Linked DNA regions of Arabidopsis thaliana. The protein of the gene in region 3 interacts with the protein of the main gene of each other region in a pairwise test. Each region holds a gene or a part of one and is shown on either strand. Other genes may lie near its edges. The genes, in order: HB25, HB28, HB22 and HB31.

Region 1 (7,896 bases), on a different chromosome or scaffold from region 3:
CTTCATGGATTCAGAACTAGTGGTCGGATTCTCCAAGCCGGTATAGGTAAATGGCCGGACACAATTCTCCGAGATCTCGACCTCGATTTCCTTGACGCTCCTTTTCCGGCCACCGGGAAATCGGACGTCGAGCGTTTCTTTGACCCACCGTATTACGAGTGGTACCAGGCTAACAAGGTTCGTTGCAACAAAATCCTAAATTTCCTTGAATTCAGTATTGATCATTGACACTGTTAACACTATCAGAGTAAAGGTTGTTTTTTTTCTCTAGAAAACAGAGAGATTTGGTCTAAGTTTGTATACATAATTTGATTTGTGTGTGTGTGTGTTTGCAGGGGTTTAAGGAATATAGGAATTTTGAAGAGTGTTTGGCTTATATAGAGGACTACATGATAAAGAATGGACCTTTTGATGGTCTTCTTGGTTTTTCTCAGGTTTGTTTTGATTCTTTGGCGAGATTTTAGTACTGATCACTTTCATATATATCAGCAGGAGGATCGTGGACCGTTGATTCTTGATCCATTCTTGCAGGGAGCTTTTCTAACTGCAGCTATTCCTGGAATGCAAGAACAGGTACATAACTGCATAACTGATCATAATCCTGGTTCTGAGATTGAATCTGCTTATGATATTTTGAAGAATGAAACCTATTGTTAGAGTAGTTTTCTATTGTTCTGTTTTGAGCAAGTGTGTGATGTTGAAACCATTTATATGCAACAGAGAGGTTGAATCTGAATTGAAGAATGAAACATGTTGTTTTAATAGTTTGAGTAAGTCTGTGATGTTGTAAACTGTTTTGTAGGGATCGGCTCTAACTAAGGTGCCAAAAGTCAAGTTTTTAGTTATCATTTCTGGAGCGAAAATTCCAGGGTTGATGTTTGGGGAGCCTAAAGCTGCTGTTAATGCATTCTCATCTCCAGTTCGTTGCCCATCACTCCACTTCATAGGTAAACTGTTACTACGTTGCGCATGTTCTTGACTTGATTTCTCGGTTATGTTGTAATGCCAAGTTTCTGTTGTTTGAAGCTTACGTTAGTAGTGTGCCTTTAGTGTAGCCAAGATTGGCATGGGAGTGTTTAGACTAGAATCTAATCTGCAGCACTACATGTTAACGTTAGAGATTCTCTCCTACAACATTTGATATGACATAAGAGACAACTTGTTTGTAATTCTGTATCGGTTTTGCTGCAGGTGAGAGGGATTTCCTGAAGATAGAAGGTGAAGTGCTTGTAGAATCATTCGTAGAGCCAGTGGTGATCCATCATTCAGGTGGACACATTATACCAAAACTCGGTTAGTAAGCATGAAAGGCTGATCATTTAAGCTCTGATTTTTTTTGGAGAAATATGCAATTGAAATAAGTAACATAAGATCTGTCTCTTCTTAATTTACTCTAATGAGCTTATCTTTGTCTTCTGCAGATACTAAAGCTGAGGAGACAATGTTGAGTTTCTTCCAGAGCATTAGGCAGATGCTTTCTGATGAATCAGGTTCTGTAAGAAGCTTGATGTGACTGAGAGCTACTCCAGTATGGTTTACTTTAGATTAGATGATCTTGCAATTTTATAAAATTGTGAGATGTGATTATTCTTCTGGTTTAGTCTTTATCCAGGGACAATTCAATAAACGTAAATTATTAAATTTACCAACCAATATGGATTGCCCGTTCATGTAATTACAGTTTATAGAGAAGAGCCAAAGATGGTCAAATAGTTTGGTACAATTGTCTTCCTTTAAATATATGAGCAGCCAATATCAAAAACTCTATTCAAACTTTTTTCTTTGTTATAGGAAAAATGTTAGGAGAATTTAACAACAAAAAAAAAAAATGATGGAAGAACAAAAAATATGGAGGGGGGCATCAAAGAAGGTGAGTTAAATTATTGTCCTTTAGATGTATTAATGGTCAAATGGATCTCATGATAATCTATGAGTTCCACTTGTAACAAAGTTTTACTTCTTTTTCAATCTACCCCCTTATACCCTATTAACTTAGCCTTGTCGGTTGCTTTCTAGTCTTAAAAAAAAAACAAAATTTCAACTCTTTTTTTATTCTTGTATGAAATAATTGATTGAACATATCGAATTACAGATCATATGATTACCCCTCATTTCAAAATAAATATATGATAAACAGTAGACGTCGACATGGGTTGTGTAATTTCAGACTTATATGTATACCCATCATAAGTATTCTCACGCTTGCAAAGCTTTAACTGTTTAGTTTTCATGCACTTTTAACAAATCATCATCATAATCTATTTTCAACAATTTGCTTATATCTTGAAATAGTTGTTTGGTTTAGTTTTTGTGTTGTTTTCCCTGTTCTCATGATATACCAAACCACTATTTTAATAAGAGGTAGAAAATAATTTCTCGTGAGAATGTCTAGTTGTGAATTGTGATGACCGTATCAACATTAATGTATAGATATATGCAATAAATTGAATTTCAAAGACCCTATCATTGACTTAGGAAATCTATTAACTCATGAATTATGTCTGGCATAAAACTGTTGAATAGTTTTTACATGTTTCTTTTGATAATACTACTTCTGTCTCTTTAAGTTTTTGTGTAACCTATTTATGATTTCTAATTTTGAGATTAAGAAATTTTGAAATTCGGTTTAGTAAGAAATGTAACGTTATGATGATTTACGAATAATGAACGGAGACAAATCCTCTGTGTGTCTCCACGTAGGAAAGCGGTTTCCCGCCAGCTGACAAGTAACACGTAAGCACGTCATCTCAAACGTCTTTCAGGAATCCATTTGCTTCATTTCCTCCTCTTATTAATATTTAGTCGGTGTTTTATATATTTTCAGATCTTTATTTTTCTTGTAACATAAAAATTACACTTTTTTGTTCATGTCAAATGAGTTTTCATTATTCACTCTTAAATCTTAATCTCTGCTTTGAAATTTGAGCCGTACAAAAACATTCGCATTTATTGTTGATGCGACACAGATGTTACTTTTATTTTATTATACTATTATTCTGAAGGAACGGTCAGCTGTATTTTTATAGTATAATTTTAATTTAAATCATCATAATCTGGTTATTGAAAAATTATTTCATTTTCAACTTTTTATTGTTTTATAAGATTGGAAATATTTGAATATTGATGAGAGCGAATGTTGGTTTCCTTCTCGAATTCTCGTATACCAATGCTAATATTTCTTTAAAGAAAATACTCCATAGTATGTTTTTTCTTTAAATTTAATTAGCTACGTCAACAAATTTTTTATATTTCTCACAAATAACTTACGTAAATTCATCATGCAATTTTGTGTTGACAAGACCAATGACCCTCGACTGAATTAATGAAGAGACTAGTCGTTAAAAAAATAATACTCAGTTATATGAGTATATAATAGTGCTGGTCGTTTAAAGAAAACAGTAAAAGCATAGTGAAAGGATAAAAACTGTCGTCGGAGATCTAACGTCAGCATAAGTTAATCAGAGGCTGAGAAATGATCATCTCATACGTTTCGTCTTCACATTTGCAACTAATCTACAAGTATTTAATGTATCATTAAACTTTTGTTTACTTGATGACACAAAATAAAACTAAATAAAGTTTTATTTTAGTGTTTATATATTTATACTGAATTATTTAGTAATAATTCTGAAAAGTTGACAACAAAATTCAGACCTTGAAATTATTAAGGGCATTACTGATTTTGATGTGATTAGACTGCCCATCACTTTATTGCAGAAAAATATTAATGCATATATTTATGCTATTGGCATATGGACAAAAATAATTATCGCGTTTATTTTGATTCTATCCCCTTTTTTTTTAGTTTCCCAAAAAGTTATCTCTAATATCATCTCCTCTCTCTTTTTGTTTTTTAATCCTACACTAAGCTTTTTGTATTGTTGTATTGTCCAAAAATAACAAAAGCTTATGGAAAACTTGTAAAACCCATAAGCTACCTAGTGTGTTTTAAGATGAGCCCTAGAACTACTCCTGAAGAAGACAAACATGTTTAATTATATCATTTTAATTCAAGATTACATAAATAAGTTTTTAGTGTGTCATTTTTAGAAGAAAATTAGTAATATTTCGTTCAATTTTCACATGTAGGTAACAATCTTTACAACTTTAAGTAATAACCCAGGAAAAAATAAACAGTAAATGGAATCAAGTAAACACGAACTCAAATCAATTTCTTTTTAACGTGTCTTTTTATATCATAAACATGGTTAAAATTTGTGATCTAATACAAGAATAGTTGACTAAAACAAATCATGCATGGTCAGAGCGATACGACCAAATTGAATAAAATAATAGGAATATATAATTAATAAGAAAGTATAATAGCTCTTCAAGTAAAATTAGAAAGAAAGAAAGAAATAATGCAAAAGATAAAGAAAGCGTTACAAAGTGTGGTTGAGGACAGATTATATTAGATTCCGATTTCCAATAAACAAGAAATTATATAGCAAAAATAAAAGATAAAAATAAAATAAAAACACTTCTCAAATCGGCAAATCCAAAAGAGAGAGATAAAAGAGAGAAAGATAATCTCTTTAATGTCCACATTATCTCTCTCTTCTTCTTCACCTTCTTGAGAAACCTCCTCTCCCCAAAAACGACGTAGTTTCACATTTCTCGACTTCTTGAATGGAGTTTGAAGACAACAACAACAACAACGACGAAGAGCAAGAAGAGGATATGAATCTTCATGAGGAAGAAGAAGACGACGACGCCGTTTACGACTCTCCTCCTCTCTCTCGTGTTCTCCCCAAAGCCTCGACAGAAAGTCATGAAACCACCGGAACTACTTCCACAGGCGGTGGCGGAGGATTCATGGTTGTTCACGGCGGTGGAGGGAGCAGGTTTAGGTTCCGTGAGTGTCTCAAGAACCAAGCGGTGAACATAGGAGGACACGCGGTCGATGGTTGTGGTGAGTTTATGCCAGCTGGAATCGAAGGTACCATCGACGCTCTAAAATGCGCCGCTTGTGGCTGTCACCGTAACTTCCACCGCAAGGAATTACCTTACTTCCATCACGCGCCGCCACAACATCAGCCTCCTCCTCCCCCGCCAGGGTTTTACCGTCTTCCAGCTCCGGTTAGCTACCGACCACCACCGTCACAAGCTCCTCCTCTTCAGCTCGCTCTTCCCCCTCCACAAAGAGAGAGATCAGAAGATCCAATGGAGACGTCTTCAGCTGAAGCAGGAGGAGGGATTAGGAAGAGGCATAGGACTAAGTTTACGGCTGAGCAAAAGGAAAGGATGTTAGCTTTAGCTGAGAGGATTGGATGGAGAATTCAGAGACAAGACGATGAAGTGATTCAGAGATTTTGTCAGGAGACTGGTGTTCCGAGACAAGTTCTTAAGGTTTGGTTACATAACAACAAACACACTCTTGGTAAGTCGCCTTCACCACTTCATCATCATCAGGCTCCTCCTCCTCCACCACCACAGTCTTCGTTTCATCATGAACAAGACCAACCATGAATCTTGAATTTCTTTGATCACTAGGGTTTTAATTTAGCTTAATTAATTACTTGAGAAATTTGAGAGACAAGGTTTTTATTGTTTAATTTATGTACCCATTTTCCTCTTTGATGATGATGTTGATGATGTTGGTGATGATCTTTAATTTCTGGTTAATTATGTTTTGCATTAGTAGCTTTTTAAGTCTCTTAGCAAAATCTTTGATTGGTCTGACTATAAATTACTGACGTCCTTATTTGCATCACATTTGTCAGTGTTTGAATTTATCATGTTTTGTGTATGAATCTATATGAACTTGATCCTGAATATATATGTACATGTATTTTGTGTATGCATTATTTATGTCTTCTTTAGCATATGATTTCATTTTTATTTTATTTTGTGCAGCCTAAGCTTTTACTTGTTGACATTGTTATATATTGTTTCTTAAGTTCCTGGTGTTTTTGTGTGTTATTATATTTGACTGACCATTATTTTCACCCACACACACATTTGTAGCTAGCTAGATCTGATAGTGTTCTTGTTTCTTAAGTTCTAGGTTTTTGAGTGTTTATATATTTTCTTGATCATTTTTTACCACACATATCTAATGATAAATTGGTTATTGTCATAATTATATCTTATGTGGGATTCTATATATATATATATACTTGTCATTTAATTGTCCAATGAGTGTAGGACTCAAATGTGGATCGGTCGGAATTTCCTTGGGATGGAGATCTCTGCCCTAAGAATTAAATAAGTATTTCAATGGCTTATATTATTATCATATATGCGTGAATTAAATAATTTTTTTTTTCCATTGGAAATGAAAAAGGTGAAATAACATCAGCTAGCTGCGGCAACAGTATTCTGATTCCTGGGAATTAATTCTTCACTTAAAAAAAAAAAAAAAAATTAAACTCAAAACATGTCGATGCATCCAAAGCTTCTTATATCCTCTTTATGTCTTATATTATATGTATATGTATATTGTTCTTTGAAGATCTGGGGAAGAAGGAAACATGTGGGCTTCTTTGGAAGCAAGAAGGAGAAGATAGGAAAACATATGGGCACACATACATTACTGCATTAATGATGTTCTTCTTCCAAATCCCTAGACTTTCATCTGGAACTAATTTTGTTTACTTTTTCTTAAGATCACTCATTCACTTATTTCACCTCTAATGATAATTTAATTTGAGTAGTAAACATTCAATTTAATCGAGCAAAAACATATTCAATTGGTTCCATAATCATTTAGTAGTAATAACAATATCAATTTCAACGAGTTACAGTAATTATAATTAACAAAAGTGGTTCGGCCTAGTAATTTATTTTATGCAAAGTGTGTTTGTGAAAAATTTATTGACTAAGGTATGTGTACATATGAACATACATTATATCTCTCTATCTTACATCGTATACCTGAGAGAAACAAAGATAATGAATTCAGATGAAATTAGGGTTTTGAGTGATGGTGAAATGCAAAGATGCAGAGGAAAGAGGGAACCAAAATGATTGTAAAAGGAAAGAAGAGGCAGATAAGATTCGAGTCCCCATCTCACGGCCATTTCCATATATAGCTTTTCATGTCTCAACCTCTCCATCATCTCTCTCTTTTTCTCTCTCCCTCAGACAGTGCAGTAAAACTCGAAAGAGAGTGAGAGAGAGACAAATATACACACAAATGAAGAGACTTGAGAGAGATGCTTTTGCTTGATAAGGCAATCTCTACGCATTCTTGTCCAAGCTAAAGCTGCACACTCCTAGAGTGAAGATGACTTTGTTGTGGTCCTCTTTCATTTTCTCCCTTCTTTCTTTTTTGGTCCAAAATTTAGTTTTCACAAATTTCAAACGCGTTTACCTCAATTAGTTCATTGATATGGCTAATGAATCGGATCGAATTTAAACTTCGATCAACACTTGTTTGAAAATAATGATTATAGTTGCATGGACCAAAGTTTCAGTTACTTCGCAAATAAAACGCAGTTAGCTCAACCGAACAATATCTAATTCGTTAGAAAATTCAATAATTCAGTTGAACTTTAATACAAATCTTGGCTAAGTTAGATCGTAATTTTACGTATAACTTTTAGTTGCTAGAAATTTTAATTTCGTCTACATTGCTTCATAAATCGAGTTATAAGAGAAATAATGATGAGGACATGTATAAATATTATGATTATAGACTTTATTCAGAGGGGAGAAATGTTTACTCGCTGATGCAGTAATGAGAAATGTTCGTACCATACGTTGGAGTCTGAACTTGTAATAAATGTTCATAGAAAGTAGTGAAAATTAAAGTAGTTAAGTTAATTTATCAAAAAAAGAAAAGTAGTTAAGTAAATGAATTTTAGGGTTGTTTTTGGATGTATGGTGAAATTGAAATTATTGAGGAGCATAATATTTTGATCAGATAATAATACTATTTATTTAAACATGATT
Region 2 (7,692 bases), on a different chromosome or scaffold from region 3:
AAGAAGACGTGGAGGTCCACGTGATTTGTGGTTGATGATATAAGGCGACGGTGGGAAAGACGATGGCGAATTAGGAAGCGGAATCGCATCAGGTGTGGCGTAGAGAGCAGGTGACATCAGAGGACGAGTAACTGTCCTCTCATTAGGTAATTTACCTTTACCTTTCTCCAGTTTTGATATCGGTGGCTTTGAATAAAACAAATTAGTTGTGCTTGGAACACTCTCGACAGACGTGGAAGCCCCTGGCTCTAGCATTCTATCCAAAGCAATAGCAGAAAAAGTAGGCATGGCTCTGCAATCATTCAAGTATCAAATTAGTAATAAAAAAAAACCGAAACCACAAAGAGCGTTTCTTCATTTCAATCGAATCAGAAATCAACCAACAATGGTCATTCGCATAAGTGAGAATTAGCTATTGGGAAGGTACAAAGCAAACACCGCGTGCTCAAACCACAATCATCGGTATACCTAAACAAAACTTGATTCAATTCTCGCACGAAAAAAAGAAGCTAGCAAAATCAAATCACAAATCTGATAATCTAGAAGCTAACAATAGGTCAAGCCGATGAAAATGAATCGAATCTCTCGAGATTCAGACCTACCATAACGAAAATTTCCAGAAATTTCACCGAAACAACAAACAGAGAAAGGTGAAAACATCAAATCCGGAGGCGTAAGAGAAGGATTTACCTCGAGCGCGAAGGAGATCTCCACGGAAGAAAGCTGAGGAAGATTCAACGGTGAGAGATCGAGGTTATACGGAAGTAAGACGACGGCGGAGAAGATAAGAAGAAGCGTGATACGACATCGTTAAGAGGAGAGGAGGGAAGAAGAAGAAGAAGAAGAAGAAGAAGAAGAAAACCTCTTCTCCAAGGCTTTTTTTATCTCTTCTCAGCTTTGTATCTCCGCAAATATTTGAAACGCTCTGTTTTTTTTTTTTCTTCTTCTTTGCTTCTTCCTCTATTCTTGGCGACCCATTTTCTGATTTTCTTCGTTTTATTTTTATTTTTTTAAAACGTGTCTTTGGGAGACATTTGGAAAGACGGATATAACCTTTGACGGTAAGAGTTACAGCAAAGGACGGCGCTATACAATGAAGGGGTACTTTGTGTAAATAAATCGACGGTAGGGTTTCGTGAAGTGGTCGAAACGACGTCGTCCAAGGGATCTTGTTTAAGTGGGGTCACATCTCGAATATTCAGAAACGTCACTAAAACGGTGACGTGGCCTAAAAAGCAAATTAACCCATGGCCCAATTTTTGTCTGTTCACGAATCTGTAAAGCCCATTTTGAAAACGATTTTAAAAGTCTTTTTTTATTTTCTTGTCTTCGTCAAATCTGGGATTTTGATAATATTTTTAGAGCCAGGTTTTTCTTAAACGTGTTACGTGACCCATGTGAACACGCTTTTAATAAAGAGCGAGTATTCAAACTTGGTTAACAATATAGTTTTAAAAAAAAACTGGTCTTCACAAGAAATATGAGACTATGATCATATCTATTTTTTTCTCCTTAATATAATAATATTTTATTCGTAACTTTATTTTTTGATGAAAAGGGAAAATCAAATATGCATCTGTTACTGGAAATTTTGAATTTTTCTTCACTTTATTTTGAATTTGTTCTCACTTGATTTTGAATTCTTAAAATAAAAGCTAAGGTGGGAAATGAAGAATATAGAACATGATTCAAAGATATCAGCTCTGGGACCGCTTCTATATTAGCAACTACTACGAATTGATTCAGTTCATATAACATATCCTTTTAAATAAGAAAACCAAAATCAACTTTTTGATCATATATTAAAGTCAAGACCCTTGAACTTATCTTATTCTTCACGGAATCTCCATGAGAGTGTACAAAACACTCATCAATTCGTGCAAAAATGACTAATACATTGTTTGATGCATCTTTTCGAATCGAATCAAGGATTGTTTGGCTTTCTCATAGATTATATATTTGGAAAAAAAAGACGATATACAAATCTTTTATTCATTTTCCTTGACGAATCTATCTGTAATGAATCACTGGTGCGTTAGAACTCGGATCCCACACACCTCCTTCTCTCACATACTCCATATACCTAGCAAACTCTGGTTTCGCCGTTGCTAAACTCTTCTTCTTCGCCGTATTCTTCTTCTTTCTTTGAAAATGAACGTCAAAGAAACTAAACAAAGGATGAACAGAACCACCGGTTGGTTTCGCTGTCGGTGTCTTCTTCACTTCTTGAACCGGGTTTCTTGAATGACCATAAACACTAGCCGGAACGCTAGAGACCCTCTTCAGTCTCGCTTCTTCATCGCCGAGCTTTTCGTAGCCACCATGGATTTTCCTTGTGCTCATGGCTCTAAACATGGTGTGATGTGGTGTGGAAAAAAAGTGGAGTTCCTTTGTTTGTGTTTTAGGTGAGTTCTTGAAACTTTCTTCGTGATGGTGTTGATTTAAGTAGTAGGACAAGTTTGCTTTGTGATATGAAAAGGAAAATAGTAGATCTGTTTGACTTTTATTTTAATTATTGTTGTGTGTATGAGATCTCCAACTAACTAAATTAAATTTTTGTATATGTAATTAATAAAGCATGTGTTAGTGTTACACCCACATGATGTATACATCTTCTTGTTCGTCCCTATTAAATCGCCGGTCAAATGTGTGTTTATGCTGACTATTACGTCTACATCTTTTAGACAAATCAAATGGACAATGGCTTTAGAGTTTAGACTAATCTTCTTTGTCTGATCCATATCTAACAATATATTAATCATGGAAAAATCTAAATTTGGGGTAAAAGTAAGCAGAATAGATCTATTCTAGAATGCTAAATCTGCTCCTTACGATGGTTTAACATCAGACTGTTATCATGCATGTACATGATTATGAATCAGATTTTTCAAACAAAATCAACTTTCTATTCAGACAGAAAAAAAAAAGTATGAATCAGAATTTTAAAACAGCCATTTGAAGGATAAAAAACGCTAGAAGGAGGGGTCGAACCTCCGACCTTGTGGTTAACAGCCACACGCTCTAACCAACTGAGCTATTCCAGCTAATTGTACTAACCATACTTGTGCATTAAATTATTAATTACACACGTTTTTCCCTCTTTATTTGAAGGTCCAATTTTATCACTTTGTTCAACCACAAATTAAGTAAAAGAAAAAAATAATCCCAGATACAATATAAAACAATCAAAACATACAAGATTCCACAGATTTATACTCAAGATTTTGAATAATTTGAAGGGCAAAAATTATATATAAAAGCAAAACAGGATTGTAAAAATTTATTTCACTTTTATCAGATCATCAAACTATTCACTAATGTTACTATTGTTTCTCTTCATTGCTTGCTTGTTATTATGCATCCAAACCTTAAAAACTTGTCTCCTCAGATTCACCATCCTACAAAACTTATCAATCTCTTCTTCATCTTTCTTCTGCATCCTCCACCCTAATCTCTCTGCAAATTCCTTCATCTTCTCCTTTTGTTCTTCATTGATCTTTGTCCTCACTCTCTTCTTCTTCCTCATCATCATCATCATCAAACTTTTCCCATCAACGTTTTGGTTACGATGACTCAGAATCTTCTTCATATCCTCGCTTGAAGATGAAGTCCTCCGTCCAATCTCACCCGTTGGATGCATTACACGTGGCTTGTACGAGCTGTTACTGCTGTAAAACGCCGGAGTTATCATCAGCTGATGATCTTGTTTACTGTTCCTGTGTCCGTACACTTCTTTCCGGTGGAAGCTCCGGTGACAGTTACAGGCGGCGCATTTTAAAGCACCGAGTGTACCTTCTTCTCCGCCGGCCATGAACTCGCAGCATCCGTCCACCACGTGTCCTCCGGTTGAGGCCGCGTGGTTCTTCTGACATTCCCGGTACTTAGCTCCTTGGTCGACACGTGTCTTTGGTTTTTGGTTTTCTTTCTTGATCGGGAATAAAGCCATGGATGGATCTGATTCGGGTTTGGCTTCTGGTTCCGGATCCGTATGTGGCTTTACTTCTGTTGAGATCATTGTTGTGGTTGTAATTGCATTGCATTTTCCTCCAAGCTCCATTGTGAATCTGACCCAAAACAACAAAACTTTGTTAAATATTAATACTTATAAATCATTCAATAATGCATGCAAAAATCTCTCCTTTAATAATTAATAGACGACTTTTGGACTCACCTTAGGGATTATAGAGATGCTGCTTATTGTTAGAGGGGAGGAGTAGTGGAAGATGAGATTGATATTGATGATGAAGAAGAAGGAGAAATAGAAATTAAGGATGATGATGACGTATGTGTGTTTGTTTCCTATCACCCATCAAGTTTTATTTCACATGAGAATCCAACAAAAATATTGATTTTAAAAACACAAACCTACTAGAGAGAGAGAGTGTGTGTGTATGTGTGGTGGTGCCTCTTAATTTCGAGACATTGTCATATGTTTGTTATCTTTCACCACCTGCACCTTTGGTCCATCTCCCATTATTGCATTTATCTCTCTTTCTCTCTATTTTCTTTTATGATGATTATTGATGGTGTTACTAATTAATGTATGTCTGCAAAAAAACCTAGCTTAGTCAAACTATTACCTACTAAGTACAGACTTGAGGAGTGGAGAGAGAGAGATAAATGAGAGGAAAGTTATGGGATTATTTTAAATTAGTTAAATGGGTTAGTTTTCAAAACTTTTTTCTAATGTAAGTTAAAATTATGTCTTATGTATTGTTAGTTATAAATTTTTAGGACTATGATTTTAAGTTCTAACATATCATAAAATAGATTAAAACTTCGAACAACAATGTTTGTCAATCCTTTATGCTGTCATAATAATAGTAGGAGTATCTTTATTTATCGATCTCCACAAATTCTTTGATCAGATTTATTGTGATAATCAATGAGAAAATAATACTCTTACTATCATTATGAGAGGTATTTATGGTTTGCATGGAGTTAGAAGTTAACTACTATAGCTTCAATTTCCCATACAAATGGAATTAGGGTTTCTAATAGAGTTGTTTAATGAAATAAGCTTTAACAATCAGAGTTTAATGATAGTCTTGAAAGAGAAGACATGATAAATTATTTTTCTGGTGGGGAGGGTTGAAGAATTAAAAGTGTGAAAGAATGAAAAGCTGGTCCACATAAGCACAACAAAACCTGCACTTTTATTTATCTCCACATGCCTCATGTCTCATTTTTCAGATTCTTTGTTTCCCACAGCTGTGTAGCACTTTTATGATCATCTTCATTTCTTACCAAATATTGAAATCAATCAACGGGAATAGATTAGCCATATACTAAACTTTTATTAAGAGGTTTGAATGTTACGCGTGACATCTTAGACTTTTAAATTCGTCTCTCTGAATAAGAGTAATTTCTTCCTATAACTATTTTAAGTTAAAAGAAAGCAAGGGTTGATTTCACATCTGTCTTGGCAAAATCAGATCCAAGCTATCTACCACTTGATCAATTGGGCCGGATGAGACATTGGGCCAAGCCCAGTACAAGACAGAAACAAAAGACTTGGTAAATAAGCCATGCTTCTCAATATCCAAGTCAAATGAAACCCCATACATGATACATGTTTACAACAGTCACAGAAATATAATCCGTGGAATACAGTTAAAATACAAGAAGGATTTTTCTTACGTGCTCCATAATTTACAGACACAAAATAACTCAGATTACCAGCAAGTGAAACTTGGAAAGGAAGTGATGGGCATGGAAAAGCTTCTTCGTCACAGGATCATATTAACTGCCCGATTACTGAAATGATTGATTGCAACAAATCACACTTCAACGATAACTACCAGATATAGAAGCTTCAGTGATAAAGTATCGTCATGTTACTTACTAGGATTGATACTATTGCTAGATAAACAAGATACATCAAGAAAAGATAAATACTTTATGATTCTTGTTTTAAGATTTGGGAGATTTCTACTTCTAGAAAGCATTCCAAACAAAAACCAATCCAGAGAACTTAATGTCAAACAAATGTTATACTCCTATCCTTTCTAATCATGTAACTGTTCAAATTTCCAAGTCAAGCATGAAATATTCTATAAAGAATCAAGTTTGTCTATGTAACATAACAATTCTAGTTACTATCAACCTAAAAAGAGAGGTATTGTTAAACTATTACCAGGCAGGTGCTATTTGGTCTTACGAGACTCGATTAGTCTCCACATGTACCATGAACCAACAGACCTATAAGGACGCCATTTCTCACAAAGCTGCTCCATTTGCAATGGACCTGGAAGATTTTTCAAACCATAAAGATCTTTCACACCTTTCCTCACACCAAGATCTCCCACAGGCAACACATCAGGTCTATGCAACGAGAAGATCATAAACATATGAACAGTCCACACTCCAATTCCTTTAACCAAAGTTAACCTATCAATCAACTCTTCATCACTCATTTTCAGAATCAATTCATCAGAAAGCACACCGTTGTTGTATTTATCAGCTAGATCGTGGAGGTAACTAGCTTTTCTCCCGGAGACACCGATCTTACGAAGATCAACGGCGGAGAGTGAGATCACAGATTCAGGAACAACACCTGCTTCTCCACCGTTGAATAGAGAGATGAATCGATCGTAGATACATTTCGCTGCTTTCGTCGCGAGTTGTTGGTATAGGATTGATCTCGCTAAGGAGAGAAACGGAGTATTACTTGAGTCGAACAGTGGAGGATCGTTGTGCGTTGTGATTAATGCTCCGAGAAGTTCATCGGAGCTTTGTAAGTGACGTAGAGCGATATCAACAGTCGATTTTGTTGATAGAGGAGGAGACGCGGTGATAATGATCCTCGGCGACGGATCTGACGAAACTTTCCTGATTTTACGAGGACGAAATCTGATTCTAGAAGATGAACCAGAGACCTCTGAAACAGTGAGATTACCGGCGGAGATTAAAGAATCCGGCGGTAACGAAGATTGATTCACGGCGGTTAGGGTTTTACGGAGAGACATGACGACGGCCGAGTTTGTTAATTGTTAGTAATTGCAGAAATTCGAAATTTTATCACTCGCGACGATATTCTTCATTGGGCCTTAATGAAAATCGATAAGCCCATAATAAAAGCCCTGTTACAGTAAAAAAAATATGATCCAACATGTTAAGTACAACAAAACAGTTATTTCTTTGTCGACGCCTGAATTGAAAAAAAATAACGTATATTTTATATGATCGTGCAGAGAGAGATGGATTAAAAAGCTGGTTACTAGTACAAAACATGTTGCAGAATCGGTTCAGTAATAAAAAATCGGAAAAAGTAAGTAATTAAAAAGGAAGAAAAACAATATTCTTGAGAGCACATATTGACACGAACAAAAGGTCAAGAAGAGAGGAGTGAGTAAAGGACAAAACGACGGTCAAAATATAAAGGAGGAAGAAGCAGAGCATAATACGACAAATATATGTTCATTAAATCACTACAATGCTCTCTGATCCAAAACTGAAAACACAACAGTACCAAAACCCACATTGGTACGATCAGAATCTAATCTCTCCCCAATTCGACGATCAGATTTCAATCTTCACTACCAAACACCCTAATTTTTATTTTATTTTCTCTATTTTTTATTAACCAATAGTAAGAATATTATTATTATTAAAGTCTCAGTTGTGAAATTCAGGGACTCAGGTGGAACTGAAACTTCTCCGTTCAACTCTAAACTATATACATTAAAAGAG
Region 3 (7,433 bases):
GTTGTCATTGTGTTTTGCTTGTATTCAAACGTTGTATTATTATTTGCGAGACGATAGATAAAATAAAAATGGAAGTCTTTTTCTATTCACATCTTCAATGTAACTACAACAAGAAAACAGAACATGTTTTGGTAATCTTTCTAATTGGAGGAAGGAGGGCAATTGATTTGGACTTGGCTAAGATTGTTGAACAACAAAGGCAACTTTGAGACAGTTGACTAAAGAAAAAGACATCTTCAGACAAATCTAACCACAACATCGTCTTCCCACTTGAGTGATTAAATTTTATAAGCATTTAAGTATTGTGGTTCCAAAAGTTTTGTCAACCAATGATAAGAGAGATTGCAATGGAATGATTCGCGGATCATCTTGGTCCATATACCATTTTAGCCGTGAGTTTTTTTCTTGGAATTTATGTATAGTTTTGTGATATATTGTTCGTGGTTAAACGTCAAATTCGAAACAAACAAAAAATGATGCATGTGAGATATGGAAGTCCAAGCCAAACAACATTTGGTCCTATTAAGACTGTACTAACTATCATTTTTTATTTATTAGAGGCCATCAAATCTTTGTGTAATGGGTTTTTAACTAAAACATTTCTTTCATGGGCCAAGACATTTAATTTCGGCTAAAAGGCCCATTAAACTCCTCCAAAACTAGGGCTCAGGCGAATTCATCTGCCTTAAATAGATTCGTAATTCTAGAAAACAGATTTTTTAGGGTTTCAAGTGAAAAGAGTAATAGCGCGGCGGAGCCATGGTTCTCAAGTAATCAATCTCTTCTCTATATCTCTCTTCTCCATGCTTCTCTGTTCATAGGTTTACATTGTTGCTAATGATCCATGTGAATATTGCTACTGTTGAAAATGCCAATTTGCTAAAATGAGCTTCTTTTGGTTCAAATCTGTTTATTTCCCGATCAGAAATGTCTGCAAATTGTGATTTTCTGGTACGAGATATGGCTTGTGTTCGGCAATAACTAGATCTTATTGTTTCCCTTCACTTTGCAACATTTTTGTTTGTAATTCTGTACATTGAATTAATTGTGTTTGGTCTCTGTTTCAAATCATTGTGACTCTTGTGAATCGTATTGTTTCTCTCATTGGGCAGATATCTAATTAGCCATTTACTAGTTCTGCTTTTAGGACATTGTAAAATGAGATGGCTTTGAATGTGTGTCCTGTGACTGTTTGTGATTGTGACCAGGGTTGGTTTTGGATTATCACTAAACCATTGATTATCTTTGTATTGTAGGACTGAGCTTTGCCGATTCAGTGGCCAGAAAATTTACCCTGGTAGAGGGATCAGATTTATCCGATCGGACTCTCAGGTACTTTATTTTGGTTAAATGTGTGCTCTACTTGTTAAGAAGAGTCTTATCTGTTGTTACTATGTATCTGTATTGATTAAATCATCTTTGGTTTTTATGGTTGTATTAGGTGTTTTTGTTTCTCAACTCCAAATGTAAGAGGTATTTCCACAACAAGTTGAAGCCATCTAAGCTTTGCTGGACTGCTATGTACCGAAAGCAGCACAAGAAGGTAATGTTTCTTTTTTTAGTTGCTTCTTGTTTTCATGATTTAGTACTATTGAATTCTGTTGTGATCTTTGTTTTCTCTCTTCTTACAGGACGCAGCACAAGAGGCTGTGAAGAGAAGGAGACGTGCAACTAAGAAGCCTTACTCAAGGTCGATTGTCGGTGCTACTTTGGAGGTTATTCAGAAGAAGCGAGCAGAGAAGCCTGAAGTTCGTGATGCCGCTAGAGAAGCTGCCCTACGGTTTGTTTCTTTCCCGAAGACAGTCACTATATACATCAATTTTTTTTTGAAACTGAAATGTGATTGATTCAAAGCTAATCTGATGATTATGCAGTGAGATCAAGGAGAGAATCAAGAAGACCAAGGACGAGAAGAAGGCAAAGAAGGTCGAGTATGCATCAAAGCAACAGAAGTCACAAGTGAAGGGAAATATCCCCAAGAGTGCTGCACCCAAGGCTGCTAAGATGGGTGGTGGTGGAGGCAGACGTTGAATGGAGCTATAGAGTAGCCCACTCTTCTCTCTTCACTTATCTTTCTTTCTTGTTTTGACATTGTTTTGTTTTGTCAGCCATTTTTTAGTTTTGCACCAGATCTAATATATTCAGTTTATGAAAACTTTTTGTTTGGTATCAATCCCCTTGTGTTTTACTCGTAGATCCAAAAACTGCTAAATAGAATTTTCAACTTGGCTTATTCTAGGACATTATTAGTGGTCTGAGCTAAATTGAGCTTTGGTTAAGCATTGATTATGGATCTAGAGTTCTTGAATCACGATGTTTCTTCATTAACTTCAACTTAGTAAAGAACCCTTTACACGAAAATCACTTAAACAATACTTAATACAAAGGAAAACAGAATCAGCCATAGAAATTGTTGCTTGTTTGGGACTAAAGCTACAAATTTGAGCCATTTTGGAGATATAACTGAAGTGGAACTTATATACTATTGCCTCAGCTGCAGGCTTTTTCCCAGGTTTGTTTCTTCTTGCATGAACTATCCTCTCTTATCATTGATTTCAGTTGTATTAGCTGTTGAAACAAAGTGAAAGTAACTCAATGGATTGTAACTCGAAAGCTTATTTATTAAGTTAGTATTGATCACTGGAGTAATTACCTCTTCTTGTAGCAATTCCTTTTCTCTAGAGACAATATCAAACTCTTGTCTTAGTGATTCATAGAGATGCTCAAGTTGTTTGTTCTTCCACCTGGCTTTCCTGTTCTGGAACCAAACCGCAATCTGTCTCGGCTGCAGCCCCAGTTCTTTGGACAGCTTCATCTTCCTGTCCGGATTCAGCTTCATCTTCCTGTCCGGATTCAGCTTTATCTCTTCTTGGAAACTTCTCTCGAGGAACTTTAGCTGCTCGCTCGTCATCTTCTTTTTTTTCTTCTCCTGTCCATTAAAACTGTTGCTTTCTTCTCCATAGCCACTCTCTACCATTGCTAGAGGAACATGAAGTATATCTTGTTGTGCACCCATCATTGTACCTAAACATCTGTTGTCTTGGTTTCCTACAAATTCAATACAAGACAGAGAGAGACTTGTAAAGCGACATACAGTTGAGTGAATGATTAAGCATTAAGCATATAAACTAGCTCTACTAAAACCTAGTACTATGGATGCATGTTACCTGAAAAATGGTCAAAGTTATAGAAAGGAGAGATGAAGCTGGAAGAAGACGCGCCATCGATGAAGGAGCTGCTCCAATATTCCATCTTCTCTTCTTCTTTTTTTTTACCTCTTTTGTCTATCTCTGCTTACAACAATCACTTTCAAGAGACTATTTTTTACCTAAACAAGGAAATGAGCAACTTTGGGTGTTTGATATGGGTGTATCTTTATCACTATATGCATATGTTAGAACATGCAGGAACATTATATATAGATAAGTAAATGTGGTTGAAAACGCTAGGGCTTCTGTTTTTAACTTCGGGTAACTAATTGGTCACTATCAAGTAAGATAAATATATGTGTAAATGAATGGTTTCATTAGTCTGACCGGTAACAAATAGTACTCCGAACGATGAGGGTAAGAATAGGCGGTGTTGAGCAAATGCATTATACGATACAAAACGAGCTAAAAAAAGTTAATGGTGATTATTTAGTTTGAAATTTTTGTTAAAAATTGATTATTATTCTCATATTCTCACATGACCTTGTATGTTTCCATAAGTAAGATATTTACATAAGTAATAACGTAGGTATTTCGTATTATACGTGACCAATTAATGTGGATTTTAGTATATATAAAAGAATAAAATAAAATGAAAGTAATGTGAGTTGAGAAAGGAACAGTAAGAGTAAGAGATAGAGGTGAAAAAGAAAAGAGAGAATGGTCCAGATTCTACATTTGTACAAATGTCTATCACTTTCTCTACCTTAATTAACCAACCAATCTGACATATATGAATTCAAACTTCTACTCTCAATCTGTAATATAGCCTCCAGTTTTCATCTCTTTGTATGTATATGTATTTGTAAAGTCCCCACAATCTTTATTTAACACTGTGGAGCTGCAGGGTGCTACTCCAACAGATAGATCAGAAGGGTCCAATTCTGATCCTGACAAAATTTGGGAGCACACAGTGCACTAGTGAAAATAGTATCATCATATCGATCTACGTGTTTTTTTGGTATGATCCGGCGATAAAGTATAGTTAGAAATTGAATGATGCAACTTATCTTGAAGAAATGGTAAATGCTTATATGGTTAGATAAAGATGAAGTTTCTAGCACTAGTTATGTTTCTCTAAATCAAATTCTACGGTTTAAACGTTAATTGTGACTGACATAAGTATATTTTGTTCCATTTCCAAAGCACGTAACAACTACATCAGCCAATTTTTGATGTGATTTCAAGATGGGGATATTTTTTCTGTATCAAGTCATTGGATTGAATAAAAATAAAAGATTTTCAAAGAAAAAAATCTTAACCGGTGATCCTAATTTTTTTAAACTGACTTTTTTTTAATAATTTATTTCTCCCTTGTGTATTAGTTTATACATCTTTACCAGAAACAAAACTGTATCTAAATCATTATTAATTTTTCATAAGCATTTGGAAATATTGTTAATTATATATATTTTTTATATAACATGTGGTATCGAAAACACGTATAAGTTGGGAAACGGAAAAAGAGCCACTAGTCCCATATGATTTTGCTTAAAATAAAACAATGTAAACCAAATAAATTTGTAATAGATTATAATCATAAAAATTGGTTTAACTTTTCGTGTTCACATATGTTAATGAAAGCGAACAAAAATCCTACAAACGCTAGAAGATAAGAGTAATTAGTTAAAGGCTCTTTTGAATCCCGATCGAAGATATATTTGATCATCAATGTTGGAAGGGATCAATAATGAGAATGTAACTACAATAAAAGTTACATATAAACAGAATAATTAACCATCAGGAGCATGATGGATAATCAAAGATGCCAAAGAGATCTACTTATTATCTGCTAGTTCTAAGCTAAATCAAGAAGCATCTCTGTTAGAAGCTGAAGGTATAAAGCCTGTTAAAATCTATTGAATTCAACACTTTGGGATCGAGATACGTAACTATTATTGTCACAATCCAATGAATAGAGAGAGTGTAGAAGTGATAAATTGAGTGAGTAAATACTAAATAGTACTACGAAGAAAGCTATATTATGATAATCTAAAAACGAGGACCATATAGTATAAAGTTACAGAGAAATAAAGCTCAAGAGAGCAGCGTGTTGTGTCATTTACTGAATGTTTTCGTATAAAGAAGAAGCTCACTAGAATTGTTTCCTTCTTTATAGGTCAAAATTCCATGTTAGTTAAACACCAAAACCAACGGTTAATGTTTTCAGTATATTACGTACTTGCTAAACAGAGAGCATGGTGAAATCTAGTATAAGAATTCTTTTTACAGACAAATTTGACAATAACATCTTTCTGACATGTACTTTGGCACTGCCAAATGCCAACAAGTGGAAGGCAGAAGTCACAGAACCTGACTTTCCATTTGCCATTATTACCTTTTTGGTAATTTAAGTCGAAACTGTCACGTGTCTCCCCGTCGTGAAAACGAAATCAACATTCAATACGAAAATAGACATTGGAATAACAACTTAAACTACGTTTTAACAATTACCCTAACATTAAAATGGTCCCTTTTAAAGAATGGTCCTTACGTTTGAACAAGACCCTTTTCTTTCAAGTTACAATTGTCAAAGCCTATCTATTTTCATTTTTTTTAAGTAATCACAATTTGTACCCACTTTACATGTTCATATTGAATCGACTGGTGATATGAAATGGTACAAGTTTTTAACTATAGTATGAGATACAAGCAAAAAATGGACTTTGAACCGGAATAATTGTGGTGTGATACTTTTTTTTGTTAACACAAGGAACATATGGAAACTTTCAATCCTTATTTGATCTGCCAGAGAGAGAATTGTTCTAAAAGATTCACAAAACTGAGAGCCAAAGATCAACAGTTTACGAAAAACAGGTCAAATAACATGATCACAAACCAAGTATTGCAATGCTCTTGATCATCTACTTCTGTGTTAACACTTTGATATCTACTTGCTAATTCTACTTAAGTTCAATGAGTTTCGGAAATATTGTACCTTCATTCTTCTGTTTCAATCCAATTCCAGTATCTGTGATCTTCGATTCCAGTTATCGCCATTCCTCTTGCCGAAATCGCCATACAAAACCGTCCTGTCGATCTATCAGCAATGGAAACAATAACTAACATTCGAAGTATAATTGGGCCGACCACTGTCAACAATGGGCCGATTTATAGATGGACAAAAATAGAATTGGCACGCCCGGTGGGACTCGAACCCACAATCGTTTGATTAGAAGTCAAACGCCTTATCCATTAGGCCACGGGCGCTTTTGTACTATCACCTACTTACATTTATATATATACTAAAACGATAAATCTCTTTGAAAAAGATTAACATACAATTACTAGAAATAACAGAGGCAAATCATGTGTATAACGGGGACATAACCTTAAAGAATAGATTTGGACAAAGTTTTGATTTAATTTCTTACAAGATCAAAATTGTTGCAACTCTTCATTAGATCTCTAAAGCTAGCTTTCAATTTCAATTTCAGTGTTATGTATACTCTAAAAAAGAAAAAGTGTTATTTCAGTTTTAGCGGATGTTGATATATCGTATTGTGATGTCACATTTGAAAAGAATGGTTTTAAGTATTCAACCAAAAAATTGGTCTAACATAAATGTGTTGATAGAGGTCCCGGCCGGCCACTTTTTAAATAAATCAAACAATAAAAAGTCAAAACTCTAAGAGAATTTAGTACACTATAAACTTTTGGCCTATTTATTATCTTTCGTGTCACGTTACATATTTTCGTATCTAGTCTTATTCAGCCTAACAACAAGACGGCAGAAATGTCCAAAAAATCTTTAAGGATCAAGCTGCGTACACTCATTTCCCAACAACACTTCAACGGTCTAAAGAAACATTTAAGTGTCTTTCCAAATTCACAGCCACATACATTTCAGAGTTGATGTTTTTTTTGTTTTGGATTGTTTTGTGATAAGTCTAACACTATCATTTGTACAATTTGTTCATATATTATCCCAATTTTGCAGTAAATGATTGTGTCTAGATCTGAACCACTCAATTCCAAAGAAATTTCTTCATTCACCACATTTTAATTGTGCTTGCTTCGTAATTCGTATATAATGAAAGAAACTGTTCAACAACTTCTGATTTCTAAAATCTTTTAAAAATCTCTCCGCCACTTCTAGTTGGACTTGATTTCTCACCATAGTCTGTCCCGTTGTTACCGACCATCTATTATATAGGGAAAGTCTCTTAGCTACAGAGACACAATAACCATTTGGAGAGGTCATGAACTCTAAGAATCGCATAA
Region 4 (9,220 bases), on a different chromosome or scaffold from region 3:
ACCCAAAGACATTTCTTACTTATACAAAAATGGATTTATGATGATCCCAACCGGTCAATGGCGGAATTAGGCACTAGTAATCAAAATAATGGCAATAATATAGTCATGAATATAAGGACTATGTAGATCTTAGAATATGTCATTTATGTTCCTTTTAAAGATAATGCTTTTGAAACTAAAGTTTTGTCAATAAAAAGATGAAGATTCTTTCGTAAATTCGATTTGAATTGCTGTTATTTTGTTTGGTGGGCAAATTAGGATTAAGAATAAAGAAGATCTATAAAGAAAATTCTTTGGGTTTTAGATAACCCATATTATTCCTCCGCAAAAATAAAAATAAAAAGAATAGATAATCAATATTCCTCCACTATATACATCATGAACCATTTCCAACATTTATTCATTTCTGAATTTAGATTATTTAAAGCAAATGGGCTATGAGCTGGTCCATAATTTGGTCCCCAGTTCGTCTGTTGCACCGTTTCTAGTATACATAATTTAATGTGTGCGCTTATGAACTTTTATATGTATTAATATTTAATAATTTGTACACATTATGTATTTTACTTTAGATTTTGAATTTTGATATCCATTACTAAGTTGATTACTTATTTAGATAAAATGCCAGATCAAATACGTACGTTATTTATTTATATGTTCTTATGTCACATGACTATATATAAACACACCCAAAAAAAATAGGAGTAGACTAGTAGTGTATCGAAATGCAGCATCGAATAATGATAAAAATTAAATAAACTAGCTCTAGTTAAAAACTTAAAATTATAAGAAAAAAGCAGGGAATGTTAAGATTCAAAGCAAGGTTACTTTAAAATAATTCCAACTTATATATCTTTTTCAACTTATCAAGATAAAATCATGGAAGGTGATGGGAATGTGTATATACTGTAATACATAACGAGGCATCTTGGGTTAAGCTATAAAAATGTTGCAGTATAGGTTTAAAAATTCGTAGCTTTCCGTGTATACTATATAACCACATGATTAGATGTTGGAAATCCCTAGAAATCAAATAAAACTTAATTAAACATGTTATACTTTTCTTTGGATTGAGGTGGTGTGGGGCTTTTGAATCTCATACGAAAAGGAATTAATAAAAGAAATATAAAGACTGAGAATGTTCCCAACGGCTGAATTAATATCTCTTTTTCCTCTTGGTTTGTTTTATAGGGCTCATTGTGTCGATTTTTTATTCATTGTATATGTTATTGGAGAAGTTTTGTAACTGAAATCATAGGTCGACTGAGGAAAATAGTTACTTAATTAAATGGTTATAATAACATTATACATAACAAAATGCATCAAAACAAATTTCTCAAACTTTGAGTTTAATCGAAATGGTGTGTGAGAAAAGCAAGGACAGCACACACATGCATATAAGAATAAGGAAGAGAAAGACTAAAATGTGAAATTTAAGATTCATTTTTGGTGTTGCTTACAAAGTAAATGCTTGTTGCGGTATATATAATGATGGAACTTACAAAAATACGTTTTTATTCGTAAAATCATTTTGGTGAACTAAGATCAACGCGTATAAGGTTTGGTATTGATTCATTTGTCAAATAAATAAAAATAGTATCATCTTCCAAACCGTATTATACCGTAGCATATCATATATGATAACTCATATACTCATGAATTATAATAACTGATGCGTGAGATTATAAAATCTAACAATCATTAATTACGGGATATATATAATCCATACCTTTTCAATCTAATATTACTATAGCAAATGATATTGTTATCATATTTACACTAACCAAGCCTAATATTAATTCATCATTAGTTGTGGATGTGACTTGAATCTTTATATTTGATTTAGCTAACGTAAAATGATTGAAATCTTAATTGTATTTGAATTTCCGTGATAAAGATTGTGAAAAGAGAGTTGGCATCTTAAAAGAAGATTTTATTTTTTTGAAGGATACAAGCTTTGGTTGACCAAAAATTGATGGTTCCATCTAAAAGAAGAAACAAATCGTCTGCCTTTGCACGCTTGTCACTTAAAAATAGGTATTATGATTAGTTTATACTATAACTTTCTTTTAACTAAAACGACATGTTTGAATTGTAACTTTTGATAGAGTATTTACTTATATATATAATTAATAGCTAGCTAATATAAAGAATTAATGTACGAGTATATAATTAGTGAGACGACTTACAAGGAATCTTAATATTATTGATCTTTTAAGTGTTTTAATACAAAATTTCACCCGTCTTTTAAAGGAATACAATCTTTGTAGCACTAAAAATACATTTAGAATCTTGTTTTATTTTGATATATAGGAAATAAATAAATATACAACTTACAGATATATACAACCCTAAAAAAAATACTTACATATATACACAAATTAAAGTGTCATAATATAAAAGGAGAACGAGTAAATACGAACATCTTGAAAATTGTGAACAATATTGGACCATCGACCTAACGTCATTTATTCTTGTGGACCCTTTTTATTTTGTCACTTGAAAAAAAAACGTAATACTAATAGACTAAATACATTTTAAAAATAGAGTATAATACTGTTATATATCCAAAGTTTTGAGCTCAACTCCTCATCCAATAGTTATGCCAGACCGAGTGATTTTCAAAATGCACTATGATAAATGTATAGTTAATACATTAGTCATCTATGATTTACTGACAAAAATAATCATTATGAAAAATATAATTGGGGATTTCAAGAAGTTACCAGAAGAAGATACAACAAAACAGAAACAAGAAAGAAATTAAAAGATAAAGTATCTCATATATGTGATCTGGTGTAGTAAAGGATAAAGAGTTAAAGACCATAGGGATAAGTAAAGAACAAAGTGATTCATGTCTTTGTTAAATTAACAAAAAAAATGGTTCATTAAACGAGCGTAATTTCAAATTGAAATGGTTGTATGACATGATTACTACTACTGCTAAGAGCAGTAATTCTGAAATGTTAAGCAATATTCTCTGTTTTACCACGACTTCCTATTTATAGTCAAACGAACACATAACTTTCGATCCTTTTGCCCATGCTTCCTAATTCACTACAAAAATTATGAGGGTACATAATTATAACTACAGCTGTAAATACACTGCCTTTTTACATGCTACCGCAATTTTATGTATGGTGAAATTTTAGTTGGTTCATTGGTTGGATATATGATTGAAAACTCCAGAGTACTTATAAAAGATTACAGAAACGTTTTTACAAATTACGATATATATAGTTTATAATAATAGTTCGATATGTGGTGTATGTGAACTAAATAATTCATCTTGGCCTCGAATGACGTGTGATGGATCTTATTTCGCCTGTATATATATTTTAAAGAAATCTTATCAACTGTATTATATCATCCAATATTTTCACTTTATCACTGATGTAAAAAAAAAAAAATTTGGATACTATGCAGATGTGAGAAATGTTAATCCATGCAAGAAAAAACATTTATCATCATAAAATAAAAGATAATGTTAGGATTTCATTTATTAAAAACTTATTGAATAATATTAATTAATTACGGCTTTTTATTATACAGAATAAAATATACAAGAAATATTGTAGGACCATAACTTCTGGTTAATAATATAATTCACATGCATGACATGACAACCTCGAGAGTCCAAAGTTTTACAAGTTATAGACGACGTATGAATTATCTATATCTTTGTGAACCAAAGTAAGTTTATCTTCTTTGCAAAAATAAAATATACAGAAAAATACTTCTGTCAACAAAACAAATAACCCCAAATATACAGAACACATACCTTTTTTTTCTTTTGCAATTAGCTTCGTTTACTCATGATTCATGAATGTTTTAAGTTATTTTATTTATTATGACTTTTATGCTTGTTTCACTGCTTACTCTCTGCCCACCACTCCCTGACACAGTCCTCTCTCTAAAACTTGTGTAAATTTTGATGTCTGATAGTGCAAGCAAAGCAATCACCCCATGACCTTTAATTTTCTTTGTTTCTCCCCTCTAATTCTCTGATCTTCTTTTTTTTTTAGGGGCATTTTAATTATAGTTAGGTTAAATAGAAACCATATTTATTTGTGTAACCAATATAAATACACTAACAAAACTGACATAATTAAATGCTGTTGTTTTCTATTTGTCACTGGGAGGGAAGGGAGAGAGTGAAAAATTGAAAATATCTAGTTTTTTTTTTCTCTCTCTTGCTTTTAGGCTTTAGGCTTTCACTACTAATACTCTCTTAGTTTAAGACATTGCCTTCACATCCAAACACAAATGCAAATCTTTGTCTCCTCTCTTCCTTCAAAGTCTTTCATTACAAAACCCTAATATCTCTAATCTTCTCTCTGTCTCTCTTAAGGGCAATATCTTCAATAGAGTTCTGAACTTTGGAAGCATATTAAGATATCAAAGTAATTTTCTACTTTTAGTTGTGAAGGTATGTGTTCCTAATTCAGTTCAATGTTCAAGAACCTGATTCAAATTTCTTTCATAACCAGTTTTGACTTCTCTCTCTCTCTATCTTTTGTTAATTTCTCATCAAAATTAGGAGAGAAGAGGAGATTGGTAATCAAAGAACAGTTGTTATTTATTTTCTTTTTACTTACTGGTCATGATAATAAATTTCCCACTTGAATTGAAGTAGAAGACTTCTTTCGAAGTGCGTTTGTCAGCTTTTGTTTGCGCAGGCTTGCAATAAGAGTTTTATTTTCCTTAATTACCATTTTTTTGTATTCTTTCGTTTTGTCCTATAATTTTGGGTTTTGTAAATTTTGGTTGTTTCTTTTAGTAAAATTATTTGAAAAATGCTTTCCGTGAGTTGTTTCTAAAAAAGTGGAAACTTCTTAAGATTTTAATCAAGAAAGTATTCACCTTTAATAGTTTAATCATTTTGGTATTAGTTACTAATATTTTCCTCCAATTGTCTTGTTTTCTTCTTAGCTAGTCTCTCCTCTGTCCCCAAACCAAGAAACAATTTGCAAAGAGAAAGCAAAAGGTTTTTGAAGAAGACCCAATTAAAAAAGATGGAAATTGCAAGTCAAGAAGATCATGATATGCCCATCCCATTAAACACTACATTTGGTGGTGGTGGTAGTCATGGTCACATGATCCATCATCATGATCATCATGCTGCTAATTCTGCTCCTCCAACTCACAACAACAACAATACTACTCAACCACCTCCAATGCCGTTACATGGTAATGGTCATGGCAACAATTATGATCATCATCATCATCAAGATCCTCATCATGTTGGTTACAACGCTATCATCAAGAAGCCTATGATAAAGTACAAGGAGTGTCTCAAGAACCATGCAGCAGCTATGGGAGGCAATGCTACTGATGGGTGTGGAGAGTTTATGCCAAGTGGTGAAGATGGCTCCATTGAGGCTCTCACTTGCTCAGCTTGCAATTGCCACAGGAACTTCCATAGAAAAGAAGTGGAAGGCGAACTCGCAGCCACCGCCATGTCCCCTTACCACCAACACCCTCCACACCGAAAACTCATGCTCAACCACCAAAAGATCAGATCAGCTATGCCACACCAAATGATCATGCCCATTGGAGTCTCTAACTACCGGTACATGCATAACAACTCCGAGTCCGAGGACTTTATGGAGGAAGATGGCGTAACCACCGCATCTAGATCGCTACCAAACCTGCCATACAACCAGAAGAAGAGGTTCAGGACAAAGTTCACGCCGGAACAGAAGGAGAAGATGCTTAGTTTTGCTGAGAAAGTTGGGTGGAAAATACAAAGGCAAGAAGATTGTGTTGTTCAAAGGTTTTGTGAAGAGATTGGAGTGAAGAGAAGAGTGCTTAAGGTTTGGATGCACAACAACAAGATCCATTTCTCCAAGAAGAACAACATTAACCTCGAAGACAACGACAACGAAAAGATCAACAATCTCAACAATGTTGATCTGTCCGGTAATAACGACATGACTAAGATCGTCCCATGATATAATTAATAACGTTATTTTTATATGATCTTTGATAATTATTTAGTTATCTTTATGTTAGCTACTAGGGTTTTAATTTTATCTTCTAGCTGGTTTGGTTTTATTTTATATATATAAGCTCATTTCGCTATCTCTCGTTAAACCCATGGATTTTATATAATTTTCTGCTCTTTGTTGTGTTTTATTTATTTGGAAGTTATATATATTAATCTTGTTGTAATAAATGTATGACCAGCCGTATTTTTCTTCTTCTTCTTCTTCTTTTGGGTATGTAAGAAAATCTACTTTGGTTACATATCATTTTGAATCATTAGACTTTTCGCAGTTCGTGATCATTGTGCTCACAAAATCTGCATGCAAGATAAGCTATATACGTATTTCCCTAGCTCATCTACATGACTTCTGAAATCGGTATGAGTATCTAAAATGGATACTGTATTTATGGAGACCACAACTTCACGCCTTAGCTTAAAAATTGTATTATCTAGTTAGGAGAATGATGTGTCTTTAGGCCAAAACATTCTTTATTACAATCTTGCACATACAATAAAATAACAAAATTTAAAGAAAGAAAATAAAATAATAATTTCTGCTAACAGAGATGTGAAAAGTGTACTAACGAGTTGCAAGTCATGTCCTCTCGTGTGTGACGTATAAGGTTGAGTAAATATGTAGTTGGTGTCACAAGCGAGATCACATTTATTAACCCTCTTTGTTTATCACGTATGTTCAAGAATTAAATAACATTTCCACCTTTTTAGGTATACTATAATTCGTGTAATGTGCCATTTCATAAATAAAAGGATTTGTGGTATAATTAGATGTTATGTTTTTTGTTCACATGTTTCGATTTGCTTTGGTTTCTGTATAGAATAATCAGGTATCATGCGTCGAATGTGTTATTTTTTAATGCGTTCATCCAACTCATTCAGTTGTCTTCTTTCAAACGATTTTTTTGTGAGAATGTCATTTCGGAGTTCTATTCGGTTCAATTTTTGAGTTTTGGTTTGACAATTTGATTATGAAATACCATAGAATAAAAATAATAACTTTTTACAATCTTGTATAAGAACTATATAGTGCACTTAATTTTTGACGCCAAGTAATTTTTAGTTTATCAGTAAGGACTAAATGTGTAGGATGGAGAGTCGTCACTATTACATTTATTTGGGTGTCAATAAATAAGAAAATATGAGATTCTGAGCCCTATTTATTATCTTTTTGTGAAGGAAACTCCATTAATGTAGCTGAAAACAAGGTCCCCTCTTGTTCCTACTCTTAGCTTTTTGATCACATTTTCTCTGCAAAACAATCCTATATATTGCTTCAATAAAGACTGATCGATCGAGCCCGAATTAGTACAGAGATCTGCAACTGTTATGTTAGACCCTCTGAGGTCAAGCGTATATATTTGGTCATGAGATTTAACTTTGTAGAGTTTAAGAGATTAAATGTTTTGAAAATATTGGGATTTGATATTTGTTAAACTTTTAATTATCATTTTAAAGAGATGTGGATCATATAAGATTGATTTTAAATATACTCAGATCTCATAGACATTATACCTCAGTTCTGAATCTTTCAGAAAACAAATTACTCACAAATGTTATTTACCTGTTATGATCTCTTTGATATGATTAGAAAAAATTTATGGATGGTCATAAAACCTTGAACTCACTGGTCATTAAGAAAACCTTCTAATTAACCTAAGAGTTTTAGTATTTTGTTTACAAAGTATATGTGTCAACAAGGCAACGTAAATTTTCAAAACCTTCAATGGAACTAAAAATGCCACGCGAGTTTGGAGAAGCCTTTTTGGCCAGAATGGTTTGAAGTTCAATTGAAAACAGAACATTAGTTTTCTTCCAAAAAGTACAATTGCGTATTAACTTCGTAGAAAAACAAAATCTATGAATTACAATGTATGATGTAGAAGCAATTAATAGATCAGAAAATGCCAACAATAATTTAAACTTTTTGAAATTACAATTTTCATGAATATAAACCCCCCCAAAAAAAAACTAGGAAAAATATAGCTAAAATGATCTATCTATTTATAAAATAGAGACTAGACTCTCGAAATAACAAACATGATTTCCAGAATTCTTACTCTTGAAAACAAAATCATAAGATTTGGTTTCGGGATCATGTACCACCATTTGTTGCTTATATATTAGATTAGAAGATAACAATAACTTACCATTTTTCTTCTTCTTTTCCAAAACTGCTACTGGTGAGACTGCCAAAAAGTGCTTCCCAAACCCATGAGAAAATATATTCAGATCTAACGTAAACATTTTGTGCCATTTCTTGTTGCATGAATCAAACGACCATACCACTTGGTCAGGCCACTTGTTCTCGGATATGCACAAGCGGTTATCCAAGTTGCACATGGCAATGTTGTCACAATTTGCAATGTCAAAAGGAACTTTGGAGATTACTTGAAAAGTCTCGGTATGAAGATCTAGAGATAGAACTTTGATTTCTTTGCATTCGGTGAACCAATGCAGCGACCCATCTACGTACACAGGATCATGGAAAGCAATGATCCGGTAAGGAGAAGAAGGGGTAATATACTTCCAAACATTGGTCCTAAAGTCGAAAACTTCACACGTAGTAGCGTTTCTTAGTCCTCTTTCTAGTGAATTATATAAGCAAACCGGCTTGTATGTGCCATTGATGATGTCTTTGCCGAATCCAAGCAAAGGCAAAGGAAAGACACTACTATATTCACTAGAAGATTTGTCGAGAATGACTTGTTTATACCTAGGTGGAGGAAAACTTCGATGCCATCTAGTGGCTGGATTGACTACAATACCCGATTTATAAAGATTGTAGAAGCATATCAAACCATCACAACTACTAGGACAAACAAAATCAAATATCTTCTCCCGAGGAGTAGGGGTCTTAACCGAAATTTCCTTTTTTTTTATTAACTAACTTTCACCAATTTTTTATTTTTTTTAACTACAATTCTTCAAAAAATCAATCAAAAAACTAATGAAATAATAAAAGGATTGCTTTAAATCTTAACCCAAACAGCTACACTCGGAATTCCACGGTGAACCACGAACATCATATAATACCCAGGTGGTGCCACGTAGGAGTTAGTAGGCCCGTCCACGTCAGCTTTATAAGCGAAAACAGATAACTGACTCACGCGCCTGACGCGCAAAACCAACAACCTCTGGTTCATCGCCGTTGAGTGAGTGCTGAACGACGGCGCCACGAGCCTCACCGATACCCCTCCGTCGAACATTCCGAAT

Evidence for each region.
Region 1: the proteins of HB22 (region 3) and HB25 interact in a two-hybrid assay, tested with the Arabidopsis thaliana proteins (one study listed by BioGRID).
Region 2: the proteins of HB22 (region 3) and HB28 interact in a two-hybrid assay, tested with the Arabidopsis thaliana proteins (one study listed by BioGRID).
Region 4: the proteins of HB22 (region 3) and HB31 interact in a two-hybrid assay, tested with the Arabidopsis thaliana proteins (one study listed by BioGRID).

What each region holds. Positions count from the first base shown.
Region 1 is NC_003076.8:26,131,550-26,139,445, forward strand, and holds HB25 (homeobox protein 25), read left to right. Parts: upstream 1-4,452; 5' UTR 4,453-4,629; coding exon 4,630-5,469; 3' UTR 5,470-6,005; downstream 6,006-7,896. Other genes in the region: AT5G65400 (alpha/beta-Hydrolases superfamily protein), read left to right, coding at 1-177, 336-434, 532-573, 803-947, 1,192-1,293, 1,422-1,513. UniProt on the Arabidopsis thaliana protein: Putative transcription factor.
Region 2 is NC_003074.8:18,912,785-18,920,476, reverse strand, and holds HB28 (homeobox protein 28), read right to left. Parts: upstream 4,464-7,692; 5' UTR 4,172-4,463; intron 4,065-4,171; 5' UTR 4,058-4,064; coding exon 3,308-4,057; 3' UTR 3,091-3,307; downstream 1-3,090. Other genes in the region: AT3G50910 (netrin receptor DCC), read right to left, coding at 1-288; AT3G50900 (uncharacterized protein), read right to left, coding at 2,011-2,355; AT3G50880 (DNA glycosylase superfamily protein), read right to left, coding at 6,147-6,968.
Region 3 is NC_003071.7:15,345,146-15,352,578, reverse strand, and holds HB22 (homeobox protein 22), read right to left. Parts: upstream 3,369-7,433; 5' UTR 3,253-3,368; coding exon 3,168-3,252; intron 3,049-3,167; coding exon 2,654-3,048; intron 2,569-2,653; coding exon 2,491-2,568; 3' UTR 2,289-2,490; downstream 1-2,288. Other genes in the region: RPL24A (ribosomal protein L24), read left to right, coding at 760-770, 1,257-1,332, 1,442-1,543, 1,632-1,780, 1,875-2,031; ProT3 (proline transporter 3), read left to right, coding at 7,412-7,433. UniProt on the Arabidopsis thaliana protein: Probable transcription factor.
Region 4 is NC_003070.9:4,935,810-4,945,029, reverse strand, and holds HB31 (homeobox protein 31), read left to right. Parts: upstream 1-3,697; 5' UTR 3,698-4,429; intron 4,430-4,932; 5' UTR 4,933-5,015; coding exon 5,016-5,954; 3' UTR 5,955-6,276; downstream 6,277-9,220. Other genes in the region: AT1G14430 (glyoxal oxidase-related protein), read right to left, coding at 8,977-9,220. UniProt on the Arabidopsis thaliana protein: Putative transcription factor. Probably involved in the regulation of floral induction.